Rhinolophus ferrumequinum: one gene and its partner. The protein of the gene in region 1 purifies or fractionates together with the protein of each later gene. This does not show direct contact. Links are inferred from orthologs where the notes say so. Each region holds a gene or a part of one and is shown in the gene's direction. Other genes may lie near its edges.

Region 1 (10,720 bases):
CCTCAACCCCAGCTGCCCAGACCCTGCAGCTGCCAGCCGCCTGCCCTCACCGCCTTGCAGACTTTCAGAAGTCAGGCAGAGCAGGAAAAGGGCTGTGAGGAAGGCCCAGGTGCCCATGATGCCTGGCAGAGTGGGAGGGCACACAGCCTTCCCGCCTTTAAACACCTCTGCTGGGTGGGGGCCCTCACCCAGGCCTCCCCACTGGCAGAGGCTCTGCTGTCAGATCCCAGGGGGCCAGACCCCACCTCCCTCTAGAGCAGGAATCCAGTCCTTGGCCTTTCCCCCGCCCCACCCCTCATCCATCATGGGCGCTGACAGCCAGGACAGGCCCCCACCTGGCCCCCAAGCCTCCTCCACCCCTGTCAGGGCCTGGGGCCCTGGCGCCAGGTCTGGAGGCTCAGCTGGTGAGAGCAGGCAGGCACCAGGGGGCACCCCTGGCCCAGCCCAAACACAGCTGGGGAGAGGGGGGAGCCAGGCCCAGAAATGTGGGTGTGACTGGCAGGGGAGACTCAGAATGAGTTACTGTGTTAGAGAGAGAGAGAGAGAGAGAGAGAGAGAGAGAGAGAGAGAGAGAGAAGGCAGAGGCCACAGTGTTACAAAGGCCTGGGGCGAGGTAACTGTAGCCAATTGTATCTGACAAGTAGACTTACCTACAAGAAGAGAGACTATTAACCCTGAAGGCCACAGTTATGACACGGGGAGATGGCCTTTTGTTCCCACCTGAGGCTGAAAGTGGGCCTGAAGCCTCCCTTCCACGAGGGTCAGTAACTACAGGAACGGGTCACCCAAGGCTCAGGCTTGTCCAAGGATCCTTGCTGTTTCTTGAAGACTCCATCAGGGCCCACCTGCAGCAGGAGGCCCTCCGAGCTTCACCTCCATCTGCTGCTGAACTCCAGCAGCACCGGCTCTAATTTTTGGGAACAGAAGCTCAGGGGGCCACTGCTCAGGATTTGGTGGGGGCAGGATTGCAAAAATGGGTGCCTGGGGGGCTAGTAACCACTTTCCATTCCTAGAGGGTGGGCAAATGGAGCTGAACCAGGCATAGGGGGCTTGGTGGGGAGCCAAGTTGGGAGGGCAGGAGAGGCCGGCTTGGGAAATGCCAGGAGTTGGGGGTCTGGATACCAGCCTTCCCCTCCTCCAGTGAGTCTGTGGATCCCACTAGGTGGGCTGGGGACAGCAATGACTCAGTTCCTGGACTCTAGTCCAGAAGGCCCAACACCCTGTGTATCTGCTGGCCTGCCCCCTGCCCTGCCAGCGCCTCCTGGCACCTGTGGCTAAGGAGTCCGGCCTGCCAAACCAGGCGGCCTGGCGGAGTGGGGGACCTCGAGAGGGGCTTCAGTGAGGAGTAGGCAGCCGGGGGGTGTTGTTTCTTGTGTGAGGCCTCTGAGCCCACAACACCTATGGGGGCAGATCCAGCCTTCACTGGACTGCAGGGCTTTTCCCCAGTACCCGCTCACCTATAGTTCCCCCAACACTGAGCTGTGCCTGCACACCCACCCTGGGCTGTACCCCTGCTGTGTTTTCTCCCCACACACGAGGGCCCACAGCCAGGGATCATGCTTGTCTGAGGGCATGTGCACGTGCACACACACACATACAACCCTACCCATGGTACCCATAGACCCACCTTTGCACAAGGCTCCGGCTGGGTCCTCTCAGCCCAATGCCCTGGCAGAGCACCCCACATACCCACCTCCTGCCCTGTCCAGCAGAGAGCCGTGACCCGGAGTCCTGGAGGCTGGACCTGCCATTGGCTGCTGGGAGTGGCTCAGGGGTGGCCCCTGACTCCAACCACCCATGAGAGCTTGGAATACCTAGGACAGTCCAGGCAGGCTCCTTGGAGAGGGCTTTTCTGCCAGGCCACCTGCTTCTCCCCAGGGCAGGAGGTACTGGCTCCCTGGTATCCTCATGGAGGGCAGCTGAGTGGCCTCATGGTTAGCAGGCTGGGTGCTGGATTCGGATTCAGACTGGCTTCAAGTACTCAGTCTACCTGGCTGGGGAGCTTGAGCAGGAATCTGCCCTCCCTGAGTCTGTTTTCTCTTTAAAATTACGACACTAATGGTACCACCGTGTTAGGGCTATTGGGGGAGCTACTTTGGACCCTATTTTATAGATGGGGAAACAGAGGCAGAGAGGAGAAGGGACTTAGCTCCGATTGTATACCCCCTAAGCAGCAGGGCTGGGATTTGAAGCCTGGCAGTGTACAGCGCCCCCTGAGTCCACCGTCCTCTGCCCTCTGATACTCCACACACTTCTGGGCAGCAACAAGACCAGTTGCCCCAGACACTGCATTGCTCTTTGCCTGCCTCATGCCAGTCTGGGCCCAAGGTATCTGTTTCAGACCTGGGATAGCTGAGGGCCCCCCACACAGACCCAGACACACAGACAGTCAGCTCACCCTGCAGGGTGCCAGGGAAACTTGGCACAAGAGGAGGCAGGCGGGAAGACCAGGAGGGGCCATGCAGGAGGTACAGGCCGGGTGCCTGCTTGGCCACTGCTAGAGGGAATGCTGGTGCCCGCCACCAGTGCCAGGCTGCCTGGGTGCTGGCATGGGCCTGTGGGAAATGCCAGTCAGCCAGCCAGGGGCCTTGGGCCAGCTTGATGCCACTCAGGACCAGGGCTGGGCCCAGTTGGGTACCCACAGCCCTTGCATTGCTGACACCCCCACTTCCAGCACAGCCGATCCCGTCAGCTCAGCCCCAGCTCTACCCAGGCAAGGAGGGCCTAAGAGCGCATCAACCACTTGGGGGCTAAAAGAACCCCTGATGGAGCCTGGACCTGAGTTACCCTTTACCCCCAGGCATGAGGGCACATGGCCCAGGCTCTGGCTACAGGAGCAACTTTGACGGGTAGAGCTAGAAGCCCAGGACAAGGTGACAGCTGGGGTGTTAAAAGTTCAAGATGGAGGCCCAGGAAGTACATCGCCTAAAATGGCACAGCCTGTGTCAGTAGACTCCCAGCCAGCTGCTCATGGTAGCAGCACCTGCCAGGGTGGGAATTTGGGGATGACAGCTGGAGGGGTGGCCAGGCGCCTGCAGGGCAGACACCTTCTGAACCCGCAGCTATACTAAAGGCTCCTTAGGTCGCCCCTTCAGCAATCTATCTGGCAGCTCTTCAGCCCCAATCGCGGGATTAGCATCTCTGAGACACTTTCCCAGGCATCCCTAAGCACTTGCACTGTGCAAAGCTGACCTTTGTTAACTTCTTCTCCTCACCCACTTGTTAGTTTATTAAAACCTTATGCCAGTGTGAAATATGGCATACATTCCGAAGCGTGCATAAAACAGAAATGTACAATATAATAAATATCTATTAAAGCAAACACCTATGCAGCTGGCTCCAAGGTCAAAAAATAGAACAAGGCCAGATTCCCCAGAAGTACCCATCACGATCTCCTCTTTCCTGCTATGTAGCCAGGTTTGCGTAAGTGGCCGTCATTTCCTTACCTTTCTTATCTCACGGTATCCTGTTTTGTGGCCCCATCCCTGAAGGGACATCCCGGTGTGTGTGTGGCGGGGGAGGGGGGGGGGTAGTCCGGGCGGGGTCGCGGTGCTGTTGCCGCGACGGGACACATGGGGGCGTGCGCGGCCCAAACCGGCTCTTACCTGGGTGTGCGACCGGACCCCGGGAATCCCGCGCCTGGGCCGGGATTGGGGGTTTCTTCCTGGACTGATCCCCAGCCAAGCGCTTTGGTCTCGAATCCCTGTGACCCCGGGTGCAAAAGTCCCGGCCCCTCTCCTCCAGGTTCCTCCTTTTGAACCAGGAAGCTGCTTTGAAAACTGCAAAATACTATACAAATGAGGGAGTGTTACTGTTATTATTAAAGAGAGTAAGCTCCTTCTGTGTGCTAGGTTCTGTGCTAAGCATTTCACATGCATTTTCTCATTTAATGCTCATACCCCAAGAAGGTAAGAACTATTATTATCCCCATTTTACAAATGTGGAAACAGGCCCAGAGACATAAAGCAACTTGCCCATGATTGCACAGCTTTTGTGTGGCATAGGAGCCCTAATTGCCCTGACTCTATGACCCATGCTCTTACCTGCTATCTGTACTTAGCTTTACATTATATCCCTTCCACACAGTGAAATGTCCATTGGAAGCATGTTTTGAATTAAAAAGAAATATATATATATATATATATATATATATATATATATATATATATATATATATATATATGTATGTATAATTTTTTTTTAAGTCATTGTGAATAACTTCCAAGAATGAGCAGTTGGAAAGGGGCCTGAGTCCCAAAGTCCTGGAGATGGGGCTGGCAGAGGGGATGGTAGCTGGGGAGGGGCCTGCCTTCTTCTCAGGCCTCCTGGGGACAAGTCTGGGGTCCTTAACAGGGGTTCAGTCTGAGTCACAGGGGCTGTGGCTGCCAGAGGTGCTAGTGCAAAGGACCGGTGCATGGAGGGGGTGGGGGCTGCAGGCCCCAGAGAAGTTCTGGGCCTGATGTGGGACGGGCTGGTCCATTAACTGGAGAGTGTTCGCTGAAGGGCAGGAGCGCAGTGGGCTGGGAACCCTGCAGTCCCTGACTTTGCAGACTTGGTGGAGGGGTGGTCAAAGGGTGAACCAAGAGGATAGAATTTCAGACAGAGATAAGTGCAATCCGCAAAGGAAAGGATATATGATGAGATGTGGAGGGTTCTAGGGAGGATGGCCTGGAAGCGTGACTCCCCCCTGCCTTGTTCAACGGATAAAAGATGCTGTCCGTGAAGGAGCAACGCCTGCAGCACTAAGGTTAGGAATCAGCGCCTGCTCTGTGCTGCTCCCCTGCTGAGAACTTTAAGGGGATCATTCCATATGAACCTCCAGCTCCGTGAGGTAACTTTCACCAGCTCAGTTTTCACGGGAGAGGAGACTAATCTGAATCTCAGGCCCTAGTACATTCCAAGGTCATTCCGCCAGGAAGCAGTTGAGGTAGCTGTGAGCTGAACTCAAGGCTCAAATCCAAACGATGGTAAGGGCTGCCTCGGAGGTGGCTGAGCCCTGGAAGTAGGGAGGGATCCGGCCTGGATGTCTAGGGGGCTTCCTGAGAGGGGCAGAATGTTCTGGTTCCTGAAGCAGAAGCCGCGCGTTCCGCGGGTCGGGGAAATGTCTATCTGGCCTGCCCATGACATCCCCGGTGTGGTGCACTGCAGGTGTGAGGGGGGAGCCTGCGAGCCCAGGGGACTCCGCCCCGTCAGGATCCCAGAGGCCGCAGGGACTTCCAGTCCTACCCTGAGGTGATCGCCTCCTGAGGCGACACCTCTGGGGCAAAATGCGGTGACCACTCCTTTTACAGACGCGAATACTGTCAGCCCAGCGAGAGACGTGGGTTTTGGGACAGCGAACTAGGGGTCGGTCGACATTCCGAGAACCGGGCGGAAGGGGCACAAAGCTGGCTCAGGCCGGGCGCAGCGCCTCAGCCTCCAGGCCCTGCGGTGCGGCCACTCCCGCCCCCGGGCCGGCGCCAAGGACACTTTGCGCCTGCGCAATGAGAGCGCAAGGGCTGAGGCGCTTGGGGGGCGTGGTCGGCGACCCGCACGCAGGGACGTAGGGGGCGGAGCCCCAGGAGGCTGGGCGCCTCTGATGGGCTGCATCGGGAAGGGGGCAGGGCAAGAGGAGTTCTTGGGCGGGGCCTCGATTCCGGTTTGGAATTTTTGGCGCGAGTCAGTTCCGCGCGCGTTCACGGGCAGTTCCCCCTCCAGAGAGTCCTCTTGCCCCGTCGTAGAGAGCTGTCGACGGCAGACCTCAGCCCTCCTGACCGCCCCCGAGGTCTCCCGCGACCTCTGCCGACCCAGAATCTGGGACCTCGCGGAGCTGCTCCCCGCCCTCTCGCCCCAGGTGAGCCCAGGCCCGGCCCTGAGGGTTCTCGAGCCGGACCGCCCTCCCCTCCTCTCCTCCTCCCTCTCGTCAGCCTCACCCCGCTCCAGCCTCCTTCCTCATCCCCCTCCTACAGCCCCCCTTCCCTGTCGAATTGGGTTCTGCCCTACCCATCTGCTAACCCCTCTCTGGGCCAGTCCAGCCCCGGGCGGCCCCTCCCACTCCCCTCTAGCCTCTCTGGCGAGTCCCCTTGCTGCCCTCTCTCCTTCCCCAGCCTCCCTGTCCCCTTTCATTTGGTAACCCCTTCCCCTAGCGACTGCCCTCCCTTATTTGGCCCTCCCCAGGAAAAGCCCCACTCACGTTCCCCCTACAGCCCCTCCCCCGTGACAGTCGGTCTACTCTGTTCGCCAGGGTTTCCCCACGCCCACGGAGGTGAATCAGCTGTGGGCCTGCCCGCGAGGAGCTCACAGTCTAGCGTGGTAGACCGTGGTCAGCAGATGTGTCCAGCCCAGTGAGAGGGTGAGGCCTGTGGAAGCTGCAGAGGTCACCTGGCCCGTCCTCTGCTCAGGGCCACCCTGGATTCTCCCGGGAGCTCCTGCTCCTTCTACCTTCCCTGTCCCACCCCCAAAGCTGTTTGGCCAGGCCAGTGGTGCTAGAATGTAAATGAAAGTGGGATGGTCTGACAACTGGTTTAAGATGCAGATCTTAAAAGATTTAAGTGTCTCAGAATGTGCCAGGACTGCGCCTGGAGGCTGTACATACTTCTAACCAGCTTCTAACCAGCGTCCTGGGGATCCTGACATTCCAGTTCTTTACTTTGAGAAACCCGTAGGATTCCTGAGGTAAAAGGGGCAGAGGAAAGGTCCACACATTATGTAGGGTGAGCCTTCCAGGATGGCACTGTTGGGGGTCCCTCCCTCAGCCCTCACTCGCCCAGGGACAGGAGGGCACACTTCAGATGACTGCCCCCTTTTCAGTTACTGACTCACCCCTTGTTGGGTATGGCATCTTTTGATACACTGCCTTTCTCTCAAAAATTAAACTCCTCTCCCTTTTGTTTTCTTGTTTTTGTTTCAATTACAATGTAATTGTGTAATAACACAGCAGCCGGGTGCAGATACACAATCTTTGTGTATCTCTGCTCCAATACACAGTCACTTACACCCATGGGACCATTGCAACTTTGTGTGTTCTCTCAATGACTACTCAGAGCATTATTTATTATATATTATTTATTATATAATGAATAATTATATAGCATTTATTGAGGACTCTGCATGCCAGACACTGGGCTGAGCCTTCCCTGACTTCAGCATTACAGGTCCACAAACTCTTGAGGCCAGGAGTGTTTCAGAATTCAAAATATGTCAGATTTTAGAAAGCTAATAGGGTGCATATAACATTTATATGTAACACCACCCATGAGTCTGGGACATCATCCAACAATTAAACACATTAATATTTCTGTCAAGAAATCTATGAATATTCACACTGAGAGGAAAAAAGTAGGTCAGACCAGATTTTTCTGCTAAATGATTTTTGCATATAGATATCTAGCTGTCCCAGCACCATTTGTTGAGAAGATTATTCTCTCCCACAATTGTTTTGGCACCCTTGTCAAAGTCAATTGATTAGAAATGTGAGGGTTTATTTCTGAATTCTGTTTTAGTGCATTGATATATATATCTATCCTTGTGTGAGTACCACACTGTTTTGATTATTGTAGCTTTGAAGTAAGTTTTGAAGTTGGGAAGTGCAAGTCCTCCAACTTCATTTTGATTGTTTTGTTTTGACTATTCTGGGGCCTATGAATGTCTATATGAATTTTAGGATCAGCTTGTCAATTTCTGCAAACAATCCAGCTGGGATTCTGATAAGGATTGTACTGAATCCGTAGATCAATTTGGAAAGTATTGCCATTTCATTCATATTAAGTCTTTGGATCTATGAACATGTAATGTCTTTCTGTTTATTTAGGTTGTTGTTTATTTCTTAAGCTGAGGGGGAAAAGGAAAGAGCGTACATATCCATAATATTTGTTATGTTGACCTTATTCACCACTTTTCGTTCTCTTCATTTATTCCTGTGGGTTTGAGTTACCATCTGGTGTCATTTTCTAGTCCAATATAGTTTTGTTCCCACCCACCTCCTTTGTGCTGTTATTTGCAAGTATATTACATTTCTCTGTTATATGCTCAACAATACAATTACATACATATTCTTTTTAAATCAGTTAAGAGAAGAAGGGAGAAGAAATATGTATTTATTCTGTCTTATATTACATACTTATCCTAATCGGTGATCTTTGTTTTTTTATGTAGGTTAGAATTACTATTTGGGATCAGTGCTTTCAGCCTGAAGAATTTCCTTTACTTTTTCTTGTAAAGCAGGTCTGTTGGCAATGAATTCTTTATTTTGTTTATCTGTGAATGTCTTTATTTTGCCTTTATTTTTGAAAGATAGTTTTGTTAGATACAGGATTCTTGGTTTACAAATCTCCCTCCTCCCCGCCAGCACTTGGAATGTCATCCTGTTGCCTTCTGGCCTCCATTGTTTCTGATGAGAATTCAGCAGTTAATCTTATGGAGAGGCTTGTAAGTGATGAGTCATTTTTCTTTTGCTGCTCTCAAGATTTTCTCCTTGTTTTGGTTCACTCAGCACTTTTAATATGATGTGTCTGTGTGTGGATCTCTGCATTTATCCTACTTGAATTCATTGCACTTCTTGGCTCTGTTAATGTTCTTCTAAATCATATTTGGGAAGTTTTTATCCATTATTTCTTAGCATATATTTCCTGCTCCTTCTCTCTTTCTGGGACACTCATTATGCCTATATTGGTACACTACATTTCTCTGAAGCTCTGTTCCTTTTTCTTCATTTTTTCTCTCTGTTCTTCAGATTGCACAATCTCTATCAACCTACCTTCAAGTTCACTAGTTATTTCTTCTGCCTCAAATCTGTTGAACCCCTCCAGTGAATTTTTTCATTTCAGTTATGGCATTTTTCAACTCTACAATTTCCATTTGGTTATTTTAATAATTTCTATCTCATTATTGATATTTCCCATTTGATGAGATATTGTCATCATGCTTCCTTTACTGTAAGCGTGGTTTCCTTTAGTTCTTTGAATATATTTATAGCGGCTATTTTGAAGTCTGTCTGTTAAATCTCACATCTGGTCCATCTTACAGGCAGTTTCTGCTGTCTATTTTCCTGTGTGTGGGTCACACTTTCCTGTGTCTTTGCATATCTTCTAGTTTTTTTGGTTGAAAACTGGACATTTTACATAATGTTTTAGCAGCTGTGGATCCTGGTTCCTCACCCGCTCGGGGACTTGTGATTGTTGTTTGCTTGTCTATTTGTTTAGTGACTACCTAGATCATTGTAGTGACACATCTTTCTGCAATATGAAGCCTCTGACATTGCTCCTCAGAGGGCCCAGCGTGGGGCTTGTGCACAGTTACCCTGGGACACCAGTGGTTTTAGGGGGGGCTCTCTTTGACTGTCCTTTCCCTAATCACATCCACCTGTTACGCTTCCCCAGTTGCCGGCTGTCTGCTCTATTGTTTTTACCCTGGGTCATCAATTGCTCCATAGACTGATGCAATTAAATTTGGACTCCTTTAGAAGGGCGCTTTTGAGTTCAGTGTTGGAAGTTGTTCTGACTCTGGAAAGGCTCTTAACTACCTCTTTCCGCGGTTCTCTCTGGTAAACTAGCCTGCCCATGGTGTAGCTTGTTGCGCTAATGGAGGCACCAGCTTCCTCCTATTTGCTTACTACCCAACCTCCACTGATTCTGAGAGCACCTTTCAACTTGAACTTCCCACACTGTTTCAAATATAGTCAGTTTTTTGAAGGGAGGGCTTTGGAGCTGTCTGTTTTATGACCTTCCTCTGCCCCAAGCAGAATCTCTGAGCTGCAGCTCTGGAGATGGGGCAGGGACAGTGATACCCATCTGAGTGACACTGCTACCTTAGGCTTGCCTCTCTCAATGTGGAACCTCCTTCCTAGGAAGGAGCTGGGGCTCGAGGGATTGGGCTGCAGTATTCCCAGCCTGCTGGACCTGAGGCAGAGCTCCCACGCTATTAGTAGAGGCTGGTGGAAGGAGGGAGACTCGGCTTCTCCGCTATACCCAGCTGGAATTTAGCCACTGCAACATGGAACTGGAGTGGAACTCCATTACATGAGTTTCAGCATCCCAACTATGAATAAGAAAGCAAAGAAGAAACTTTTGGAATCAGACCTTCTTTTTTTACTTTGGAATTGAAGTTAAGGAAGTGTGGCCCTGTGTGCATATATCCGCCTCACAGTCTTGGAAGAGGCTGCATGTTTTAAAGTCAAATAGCGGTTGTGAGGAGGCAGGGAAGTATGTGCAGGTGGCCTGGCTCCAGAACCTGCCTTGATTCAACCTCGGATGGACTGTAGAAGCCTCCAGGATATGGCCCCGTGCAATTCAGTTTATGTTTCTCTGACCTCCAGGTACAGATGCATGTGCAGGCGTGTATATATTTGTCCTCTGCCTTTTCCCAGCAGGTGCTTGTGTGCCCACGGCTGCCAGGTTTAAAGCAGAACATGTGTGCAGAATAGACGCGGCTTTCCTCCACAGCCTTTCTGGGGCCACAGGACAAGGCGCTATTTGAGTGGCCACACTGTTCTGTATTCTGCCTCTCAGGACCTCCTGTGCTGGCCATGCCTGTGCCCACAGAGGGCACCCCGACACCCCTGAGTGGCACCCCCATCCCCGTCCCGGCCTACTTCCGCCACGCAGAACCTGGTTTCTCCCTCAAGAGGCCCAGGGGGCTTAGTCGGAGCCTCCCACCCCGGCCCCCTGTCAAGGGCAGCATTCCCATCAGCCGCCTCTTCCCTCCGCGGACGCCGTGCTGGCAGCAGCCCCAGCCCCGGAGGGTG
Region 2 (10,946 bases), on another chromosome or scaffold:
AAATCACATTGCATCTGTCTTTTGCTGTCTGACATACTTCACTCAGCACAATACCCTTCACGTCCATCCATGCCACTGCAGATGGCAAGAACCCATTCCCTTCCCTGGCCAAGCATTATTCCATTGTATATATGTACCACCTTTTCTTTAGCCATTCATCCACTGACGGACACCCAGGCTGCCTCCACATCTTGGCCATTATAAACAATGCTGCAATGAATGTATGGATGTATGTGTCCCCTCGAAATAGCGTTTTGGGTTTCTTCTGGTAAATACCCAGAAGTGGGATTACTGGATCCTTCTTTGTCTCTTGATATAGCTTTTGTTTTAAAGTCTATTTTGTCTGGTATAAGTATTGCTACGCCAGCTTTTTATTTGTTTGCTTGTTTCCATTTTCATTAAGTATCTTTTCCCCAACCCTTTACTGTTCTGTGTGTGTCTTTTGTTCTGAAGTGAGTCTCTTGTAGGCAGCATATGTAAGGGTCTTATTATCTTGTCTATTCAGCCACCTTATCTTTTGATTGGAGCATTAAACCCATTTACATTGAAACTAATTGTTGATAGATATGTAGTTATTGCCATTTTATTATTCATATTTTATATACTCCTCCTTCCCCCCTTCCTATCCTCCTACTCCTCCTCTTCTTGCTCCTCCTCCTTCTTTTTTAAGAAGTCCCTTTAACATTTCTTGTAATATTGGTTTAGTGGTGACAAACTCCTTTTGCTTTTTCTAGTCTGGGAAGCTTTTTATCTGTCCTTCGATTCTAAATGATAGCTTTGCTGGGTAGTCTTGGCTGTAGGTCCTTGCTTTTCATCACTTTGAACAGTTCATGCCAATCTCTCTGGCCTACAAAGTTTCTGTTGAGAAATCAGGTGACAGTATTATGGGAGATCTTTTGGAGGTAACTAACAAGTTTTCTTTTGCTGCTGTAAGATTCTTTCTGTGGCATTTCAATTATGATGTGTCTTGGTGTGGGCCTCTTCGTATTCCTCTTGTTTGGGACTCTGTGCTTCCTGGGCTTGTACTTATATATGTATTTCCTTTGCCAGATTAGGGAAGTTTTCAATCATTATTTTTTTCAAATAGGTTTTCAATTCTTTGCTTTCTCTCTTCTTCTGGTTCTCCTATGATGCGAATGTTGGTACACTTGATGTTATCCCAAAGATCCCTTAAACTATCCTCATTTTTTTGGATTCTTTTTTCTTTTTGCTGTTCTGTTTGGGTGTTTTCTGCTACCTTAGCTTCTAAATTGTTGCTTTGATCTTCTGCTTCATCTAATCGGTTGTTTATTTCATCTAACGTATTCTTCATTTCGGTTATTGTATTCTTTATTTCTGACTGTTGTTTTTTTTTTGTTTTCTATCTCTAGTTTTATATATCCTATCTCTTTGTTGAAGTTCTCCCTGAGATCATTGAGCATCCTTATAACCAGTGGTAGATTACTTGTCTCCATTTTGCTTAGTTCTTTTTCTGGAGCTTTGTTCTGTTCCTTTATTTGGGACATGTCTCTTTGTCTCCCCATTTTGGCTACCTCCCTGTGTTTGTTTTTATGTATTAGGTAGGGCTACTATGTCTCCCAGTCTTAGTAGAGAGGCCTTATGTAGTAGATGTCCTGTAGGGCCCAATTGTGCAGTCTCCCTGGTCACCTGAGCAGGATGCTCCAGGTGTGTCCCTTATGTGGGTTGTGTACACCCTCCTGTTGTAGTTAAGCCCTGTTTGCTGTTTGCATATCAATGGGAAGGATTGATCCTTGGGCTGATTGAATGTGAGAACTGGTTGTGACTACAGTGGAGGAGCTGTTGTGCAGGGGCTGACCCTATGGAGTAGAATTGTTTAGCAGGGCTCTGGTGCCTGCCCAGTCTGCCCTTTGGGTGTGTTATCCCTGTTGGTGACAGGGTGTTGCTCCAGCTGGGTCCGAACCTGATGTGCCAGTCCTAGAGCCTTCTGGGAGGAGCCCCACTGCAGTCCAAATTCAGCCACAGCCTGTGCTCTGCCAAGGGCCACCTAGCATGAGCCATAAAGTAATCTGCAGATGACTACCACCTGTGCTGGGAGACTAGTGAGAGGCAGACTGGGTCAGGTCTGGGAACCAGAGGGTTGTGAAAACCATGGCAAAGAACCTACCTGGGGAGGAGTAAGAGGCAGGGCTTCATGTGAACTGAGGCTTCCAACCCTCAGTACAGGCTCCCTTGTGCCATTTACAAACAGAGCAACTTCACTTACAAAACACAAATTTAAAGATTAAATTGTTAAGAATTTCCAGACATGACAGCAGAGCTTTAAATCCCAAGTGCAGGGTCCTATGTGATTGTACTCACTTTTTAAATCAGCATTATTCTTGCCTAATAGAATAAACTTCATAAAACTTGAAAGTTTGGTAAAATTCTTCTATAAAGCCATTTGGGTCTAGTGTCTTCTTTAGGAGAAGACTTTTAATTACTGCTCCAATTTAATAGATATAGGATTCTTCAGTCTTCTTGTGGTTTCTTGAGCCAGTACAGGAAGACAGTAAAGGCAAAGCACATGAAGGAAAAACAGAGAGACCAAGCAGAAAATAGTAAAATGGCAGACTTAAAGCCTAACATCAATAATTACATTGTGTAAATGGTCTCAAACACCAATTTAAAAACAAAGATTGGAAAAATGGATAAAAAATTTTTACCTAACTATATAATGCCTACAAAAAATTCACTTCAAATATAATGATATAGGTAGGTTAAAGGTAAAATGATGTAAAAAGCTATAGGACACAAAGCCCAATCAAAAGTATGGTGGAATAGCTATATTAATATCAGAGTAGACTTCAAGGCAAAGAAAATTACCAGGACAAATTGGGACATTACATAATGATAAAATATCTATTCACCATGAAGACCTAGCAACCTTACATGCATCGAGTAACAGAGCTACAGAATCCATGAAGCAAAAACTGACAGAACTAAAAGGAGAAGCAGTGTAGGGACTAAGCCCTATGGTACTCTCACATTTATAATAATCAGTTAGAGACCAGGATGGGCCAGTACAGGCATAAGGGACAATCTTGAACATCCTTTCAACAGAACACTAAAGACCTCGTAAGAGCTATGAAATGGCCATTCATGTCAGTGGAATCCCAGAAGGAGAGTGAAAAAGCAAGCTGTAGAATATTTTATAAAGTAAGAATATGCATATATTCTAGTTCTGAGAGTGATACATCTGAATTAGGTATAGGAAAAAGTCTACGTAAATAATATACCATATTGTTTTCAGTGGTTAAATCTGTGATCTGGGGTTGTTGGGTAAGAAGCAAGTAGGCATCTTACTTCTGATATTGTAAATTTCTTTTAAATTTTGTAAGAATAATTTTTATTTCTGTAATTTTCAAACATAAATTGAATATAACATACTAGGAAGAGTGCTCAATAAGTATTTGCTGAATGAGTGAATATGGACCAACTACGGCAATTTTGCAAATGAATTTTGTCACTGCACTAATGGCCTGTTAGTGGGGTAGGAAAGTTCTAGATACTTGTTGGAGATCCATGATAACTCGAGCATGCTCTAATCTTACCAGTTGCCTTTTTACCATGTAAACACCAATCAAAACCTAAACTTCCTGTTTGAAAGGAAGCAGGGCTTGTTTGAAAGACCCACTTCAAAAAAAGCAGAAATCCAATCCCTGTTGGTTCTAGCTTTGAAATTGCAAGTCTGTCCCTTCCTACTCAAACTCATCCTATCAACAGTAATAACTTTGTAACAGGGTGTCCCTGTTAAGGACATTCCTTCCAGTCTATCCTCCACATTCCTCTCATTACCTTTGTCACATCTGATCTGACTGTGCCACTTCCTTGCTGAAAACATTAGCTGGCCCTACGTTAATAAAAATGACCAAATTTCTTAGCAAAAAATCCCTCCCCAGTCTGGCCCAATCCATTATATTGGTTTCCTATTGCTGTTTTGACAAATTACCACAAACTTAGTGGCTTAAAGCAAACACAAATTTATCATCCAATATTTCCAGAGGTCAGAAGTCTGAAATACGTCTTAAACAGGCTAAAATTTAGATGTTAGCAGAGAGGTGTCCTTTCTGGAGACTAGAGGACATCTATCCATTCCTTGCTTTTTCCAGCTTCTAGAGGCTATCTACATTCCTAGGTTCCTGGTGATGCCTCTCTGACTTCTTGTTACAGCTTTCTCTGACCCTCTTGTCTCCCTCTTATAAGGACCCTTGTAATACCATTGGGCCCTCCCAATAATCCAGTATAATCTATCTCAAGATCCTTAACTTAATCACATCTGCAAAGTCCCTTTTGATGTGAATACATTTGTAGGTTCCAGGGATTAGGATGTGGACATCTTTGGGGGCCATTTTTTTGCTTACCACATTCATCCTCCCAGATTTAATTCCCACAACTTTCCTTTCCATGACCTCTATACTCTAAACCAACCCCATTTAGCATTCTGTGCATATAGGAAGTTTCCTCACGCCTTCACCATGACAATCCTTCTATTGGAAAGGCAAGAGGTAGTGTATGATAGATTAAGAGGCCTAAGTCTGGAGTCAGACTGGGCTCATATCTGAGTCTGCCACTTACTTGCTAAATGGATTTGGACAAACTTTTGCTGTTGTTTGACCCTAGATCTAAATACCAGATTATAGGAAAAACAAAGTAAATTATACCATAGGAAGCAATTACCCAAATCCAGACTGTGGAATGTTCCACAGGCAAAAATGACCTGGTTTTTCTGATAAACCTATATTTAAAAAAGGTGGTCTGTCAGCAGAGGAGATTGTATAAAAACTTAAAGAGACAATAACCAAATTCGATGTGTAGGCCCAAGTTTGGATGCGGATCCAAACCAACCAACTATAAAAAAGGCATCTGTGAATCAGGGAAATCAATCTAAAACAGGTGTCAGAGAATGATGAAGAATTATTAAGTGTAATGACATGGTACTAAATGTATATTTTAAATTTTTTCTTGAGATGTACACCATAAAGACAGATATATATACAGAAGTATTATTTCAGAGTAAAATGGCATTATATTTGGGATATCTTTAAAGTTATTCTAGCAAAAAAAAAAAAAGAGAGAGGAATAGATAAAACAAGATGGGCAAAACGTTTATTGCTGAAGTTGAGTGACTGGTACATGGGAGTTGATTATACTATTGTATTTTTGTGTGTTTGAAATTTTCCACAATACATCTCTGTAAAAATACAGAGGGTGCCAAAAAATGTATACACATTTTAAGAAAGGAAAAAAACTATTAAAATTGTAATACTCGATGTATGCTGGTAACAAAAAATGAATACAAGTTATGTGTATATATATTTTTTGGCACCCCTGGTGTATGTCCTAGGAAACTTTTTTCCCAGGTTCTGCCAGACAGTTAGTGATTTCCTTATCCATCTACCTTAGCAGTTTATTCGTATTTTTACCAGCACATAATCACACCTGATTATTTGGGCATACATTACTATCACTTACTACTTAAAACTTATTGCTCATCATGTGCAAGAGACTCTACTATGTCCTGGGTAGAGCAGTGAATGAAAGACATGCCCTCATCACCGGGTTATGTAGGGGGGGCAGACAAAACCCCAGCAAGCATGCAACAAAGGACCAGTGGGTTGGAAACTCCAAAGACGCTAAGGAGGGACAGGAACGGGGAAAGCGGGGACTTCTTGAGCACAGGGTATAAGGAAGCCGTTTCAGGAGACTGATCCTTAACCTGAGAGCTGAAGGTGAAGGGCCACCGGGTGTTGGGTTGGGGGAGGGTAGCGGGCCCGTCTATGCTCTCACCTGTACTATGCTGCAACTAACACTGAATCAAGATCGTTACTACAAACATAACACATTCTCATTTAGGGAAATGTGAAAAATACAAAAAAGGTCACTTTTAATTGTCATCTAAAAAGAACCACTTACATCTTGGCATATTTCCTTCCAGTAACTTTATTTTACATGTGCATGTATTTTAAACTAGGGCTCAATACTAAGAGCCAAAAAGTTTTAAAAACCACTTTTAATCCCTTTGTCCGGTAGGAAACGTTATTATTTTAATAATCGTTTTTACATTTTGCATTAAGAAAAGCACGCGTATACACATGCTTATCTAGAGTTGTTATGAATTATGCTCAAGGCGTGGGAATACATGTTTTACCTCACGTCAGGCCTCTAGTGCTCAGCCCCGGCCCTATCGTTCACGCAGCACTCTTGCAGGGTTCTGAAGAGTTCCAGGCGGAACAACCTCGGCTTCCTCACGTTCCTACTCTCCCCAAAAAGCTGGGTGCCCTCAAAGTTCCCAAACCTTGGCTTTCCCTATCTTCTACAGACCTAGGACGCGGAACCCGGGAAATGCGCCCCGAGCCTGCGCCTGCGCACAAGCGGCCTCGCGGCGGGCAGCCCCGCCCTGGCATCGCCAAACACCGCGATATCTCATCCGTCCCACAAGTTCGTCGCCCTAACGGCTCTGCAGACCTGGAAAGTTCTAAACCCCCTGCACCCTTTCCTGGTCACGCCCCTTACGTCAGAGAGCTCCCCGCCTCCACGCCATGCCAATCATTCACTTCTTCCCTCGGGCAACCTCGCAACAAGCCACTGAGTGGCTGATCTTGGGAGTGAACGTCGCGGAGCAGCGGCAACGATAGGCTGGAAGCCGGCCCCGCCTTCCCGCAGTTTGCACAAAAGGTGATTGGTCGGCTTCTTTGTCCAATCAGCGGCGGGCTGTCGGATTCAAACCAGGATCGTTAGGCCTGCGGTCTGTTGGTTGCAGTTGAGTCGTTGCTTTGGCCGGACGCACACCTTCCCTCAGCTGCGCCCGCTCTTCCTGCCCGGTCGCTCCCCTTCCGCGCCGCCTACCTGCCGGCAGGATGGCCCACAAGCAGATCTACTACTCAGACAAGTACTTCGACGAGCACTACGAGTACCGGTAAGTGGGCCAGTGGGCGGGCTTCCTCAGCCGCTGCCCAGGGAGGGCCGGTGTTCGTGTGGGGGCCGGAGGTCGGGTCAAGGTCGAGGCCGGGAGTTGGAGTAGGGGCCTTGTGAGGATGGAAGCGTGTCGGGTTGTGGTCGGGGCCAGAGCGCGCCCCTTATTTCGCCTTTACGGGCACAGCCAGCCTCCCCTCTTTGTTCCGTCTGTGAGAAGGATGAGGCAGGGGCGGAGATGGGGGCCACTTCTGGTGACGAGTTGCTACCTTAAAGGGAACAGGCGGAAGGACCGAAGCGGACCCGGGTCCTCCGCCACGTCCAGTCGTCACTCGGGCTCTGGGCGGGCCAGTGGCCGACATCCAGCGGCGAGAGCCCTACTCCACCCGTGCCGCGGTGCCTAAGAACTTGCGAGCTAGTTGGCATTCTCGAAGTAGTTCCTCTCTCCCAGTCACTGTGGTGTGGAGGGTGGGAGAAACACTTTTTCTCCTTGCTTTTGAAGTTAGTGATGCTAAAAATGACTTTGAGGGGGAAACCCCGAAAACTTCGCTTTTTGGAATTTTTAAATGTTTATTGCGTATGGTGATTTGGGTAGGCGTTTGTGCGTTAACCATGATGACTTAAGGGCATTATCAAAGGGGTTTCACATTTAAGACTAAGTTGAGAACTCGTGTGGACTTTGGGCATTTGTGTGTGTGTGTGTGTGTGTGTCTCAGTATATACTGGCCAGATCTTCGCTTTGAGGAATTTTTGGTTTCTGAGTCGTGATGTGCTGCACTAGAACGTAGTTGCTAAAATTAATCTGTAAAATTAACAACTTGGATTGTGGGAGGGAAGGACCACTTCGTTTATTGGCCTTATTGTCTGCAGGAGACTTCCTTGGGGCGTGGCTTCAAAGACCAATCCTACCCTGTTCTCCTGGATGGTGACTAGGAAGCTGCATTTGGGGCCAAGCAGTGACCTTGTTTCTGCCTGCTGTCCTTTCAAGTTAGATTTCCAAGAATGCTATTTGAGGTAGAAAGGGCATAGTGTTTGCTCACTCTCTCTCTCTCCCTCTCTCTTCTTGTTGTATTGGAAGTCTGTATTCTCAGGAGAAAAACTGATGCAGTTTTACAGATTAGTAATACGTGCATTGTTTCATATTCTTAGCTAGAAAAATCTTGTTTTTCTGGATATAGATAAATTTGAAGTCGATCATCTTATTTTTATATAGTAACTACATGGTACAGTTTCAATCCTGTAATATATTGGCATAATGTTCAATTATGTGACATCGACCAAGAGCCCAGCTGGGGATATCCAATAGTGGACAGAATGTAAACTGTATTACGTTTCTAAAATATGGAAAAAATATTAATATTCTGAAACACATCTGGCTCTAGTAGATTAGGATACTTTTTAGGACTTCTGGCAGTTTCATTTTTTATTGTCAATATACTAACAATTATCGATGAGCACTTAAGTAGACTGCGCTGTCAAAATTTTAGCCTAACTGGTTTGTGTATACTAATGTGTAGAAGAAAATCCTGTCGTATCTGAAGTGATATATTCTAATCTATTATTAATTAAAGATAATGGTCCTTCTTGACCAAGCCACTTGCCTTACAGAAACAGCACAGTGATTAATCTCCAGAGATACTTTTAAAGGCAAGTTGATACTGATAATAAATCACTGAGGTGTGAGTCTAGGGTGGTTTGTATATGGTGGTGCAACATGCAATGTGAATTTCAAAAGTATTTATTTTTGCTAGTGTGCAGTTGCCTACATCTTTGTGTTTTGTAAATGCAAACTTAATTTCCTATTCCCTTTACTTAGGTTATTTTGTAAATGAACTTCAAAACTTAGTTCTGTTAAATACCGTCTGAAACAAGTATTATAGGGTTGTATGGATTTAAATTTATAAAAATTTTATGTTAGTATTTTTTTTTAAAAAAATCCTATCCACAACTGTTGTCTGCCCTCCTAATTGCATCTTTGTTGTAGCTCCTTTATATTGGCCTATATGTAGCTGTTTATATTGGCCTTTACCCTCCTCCCCTCCGTGACAAGCCCATGGTACTGAAATAAACACTTAGTTTTGGAAATAATTTTTCTTACATGTAGTTAGAAAACTATCTCCATGCAGTTAAATACAGGTAGAATTTCTATGTGAGCTTGAAGCTACTTATAAATTTTTCTTTTATAATCAAACTTGGATGAAGGTGAGCCTGTTCCCATGCTTTATGGAGAAGGTAGGGGTTGTGACTTCTATCTAAATAACATGTTGGTGCATTTATGTAGGTATACATAATAGTACAAGTTTAGTTAGCATTACATTTCTCTTTGAGACTAATCAACAATGTGATAGAAGTAAGATTATAGGTTATTTGCAGAGCCTTAAAAGGAGATGTTAAAGCAGCAATCCAAGAACGAATAAGGTAGCTGGTAAGTATTACTAAGAATCACCATGCAGTTCACTGGAATTGGTGAAATTTTAACCAGGATAGTATGCATAATTTGACTTGGCCTCATGGCAATCTACTTGCATAGCACAATTCTTCTAAGGTTTATTTTTGTTCTACATAAAATTGATACTTAACTAACCAGCCACAGATTGGCTTAGTTGCTGACAGATGAGTACTTACAATGGGTTCACTTTTCCTGTGTGCCAGAAAATAACCAGTTATACCTTTCTCACTTCTAGCCAACTGACTCACAGGTAGATATCCTATACTGGTCAAAAAAATTGGTTGAATATGTATGACTGTACAAAATTAGTACTACCTGGAAATGGTAAAAATAGGGCTGGGAGTTGTGATTTTTATAAAGATCTTTATATGTAATAAGGGGTGTACGGATTTGTCTTTGAGAATGTAACAAAGCTACAATTGTACATATTCTTGATGTTTTGACATTGAAGACTATCGCATACCTTCCTCAAAAAACTTAAGTTTTGGGTATAGGTCTAACTTAACTGGAAAACTAAAGGTCTGTGTCAGGTAGCAGGTACATATATATGTGTGATTAGTGTTTGTTTTTTATTCATTCTGAACAGAGTATAAAGCAACTTCTGCAGTATACAAGTAGATACAAGATTTGTATCTACTACAAATCTACAATGTTGAGTAATAGGAAACCCTAATTAACTAAAAAATTAGATATTTTTTTTCTCCTTATGTAAAAGGCTACATGAAGCTGGGATGACAGGTCTATAATCAGGGACTATCCTCAATTTACAATAGCTTCTGTGGTCTTGGATGGCTTCTCTAGCTCCCTGATCAGGTCATTCTGCTTCATAATCAACAGGAAGGAGAAAAAAGAGTATAGTTGGGCGTGTACTTTCCTTTTGAGGACACTTTCCATAAGTTAACCTATTATCTGTTTATATCCTATTGCCTAGGATTTAGTCACATGACCAGAGGTAGCTGCAGGGAAGGCTGGATGTTTTGGATAACTGTGTCCAACTTCATTTTGGGGGTTCTATTCCTGAAAAAGATTGAGACCAGTAGCAAGCCCTCTTTGTTGGGGGGAAAAGGTTAATCCTGAATAAGATGCCTTTTTGTTTTTGGATTGCATATTCTTATTATCTCCCTAATTTGAACATGGGCTATCAAAAATCAGAATTAAAGGTAGAGAATAGTTCTCAAGATCAATGCAAATTGACATAATACGACAATTGCTTTAAAGAACTTTGTTTTGAGGACAAAAATCTCAAATTTTAAACATCCTAAAGATGCGTGTATTAAGTGATCATAACTGTAAAAAAGGCACATTTGCAGAGTATTAATACTTGGCTATCTCTTAAAACAGGCATGTCATGTTACCCAGGGAACTTTCTAAACAAGTACCCAAAACCCATCTGATGTCTGAAGAGGAGTGGAGGAGACTTGGTGTCCAACAGAGTCTAGGCTGGGTTCATTACATGATTCATGAGCCAGGTAAGTTTTGTTATTGAAAAGCATTAACTGAATTAAAATAGCGGTTGTTGGAAATTTTTTGGTAATCTTGACATTCGGTGATATGCCAGAATAACTATTTTTGAATGACTGATTTC

What was found.
Region 2: the proteins of PKMYT1 (region 1) and CKS2 purify together in Homo sapiens (affinity purification with mass spectrometry; 3 studies listed by BioGRID and IntAct, counting the BioPlex papers as one, with this or other methods). This does not show direct contact. The link is inferred for Rhinolophus ferrumequinum from reciprocal best matches to the Homo sapiens genes PKMYT1 and CKS2.

The regions. Positions count from the first base shown.
Region 1 is NW_022680357.1:4,481,959-4,492,678, reverse strand, and holds the start of PKMYT1 (membrane-associated tyrosine- and threonine-specific cdc2-inhibitory kinase), read left to right. Parts: upstream 1-5,648; 5' UTR 5,649-5,833; intron 5,834-6,223; exon of another isoform or gene 6,224-6,331; intron 6,332-8,184; exon of another isoform or gene 8,185-8,202; intron 8,203-10,342; exon of another isoform or gene 10,343-10,484; 5' UTR 10,485-10,501; coding exon 10,502-10,720. Other genes in the region: GREP1 (glycine rich extracellular protein 1), read right to left, coding at 51-117. UniProt on the Homo sapiens protein: Acts as a negative regulator of entry into mitosis (G2 to M transition) by phosphorylation of the CDK1 kinase specifically when CDK1 is complexed to cyclins. Mediates phosphorylation of CDK1 predominantly on 'Thr-14'. Also involved in Golgi fragmentation.
Region 2 is NC_046295.1:4,648,605-4,659,550, reverse strand, and holds the start of CKS2 (cyclin-dependent kinases regulatory subunit 2), read left to right. Parts: upstream 1-6,703; 5' UTR 6,704-6,857; coding exon 6,858-6,916; intron 6,917-10,702; coding exon 10,703-10,830; intron 10,831-10,946. UniProt on the Homo sapiens protein: Binds to the catalytic subunit of the cyclin dependent kinases and is essential for their biological function.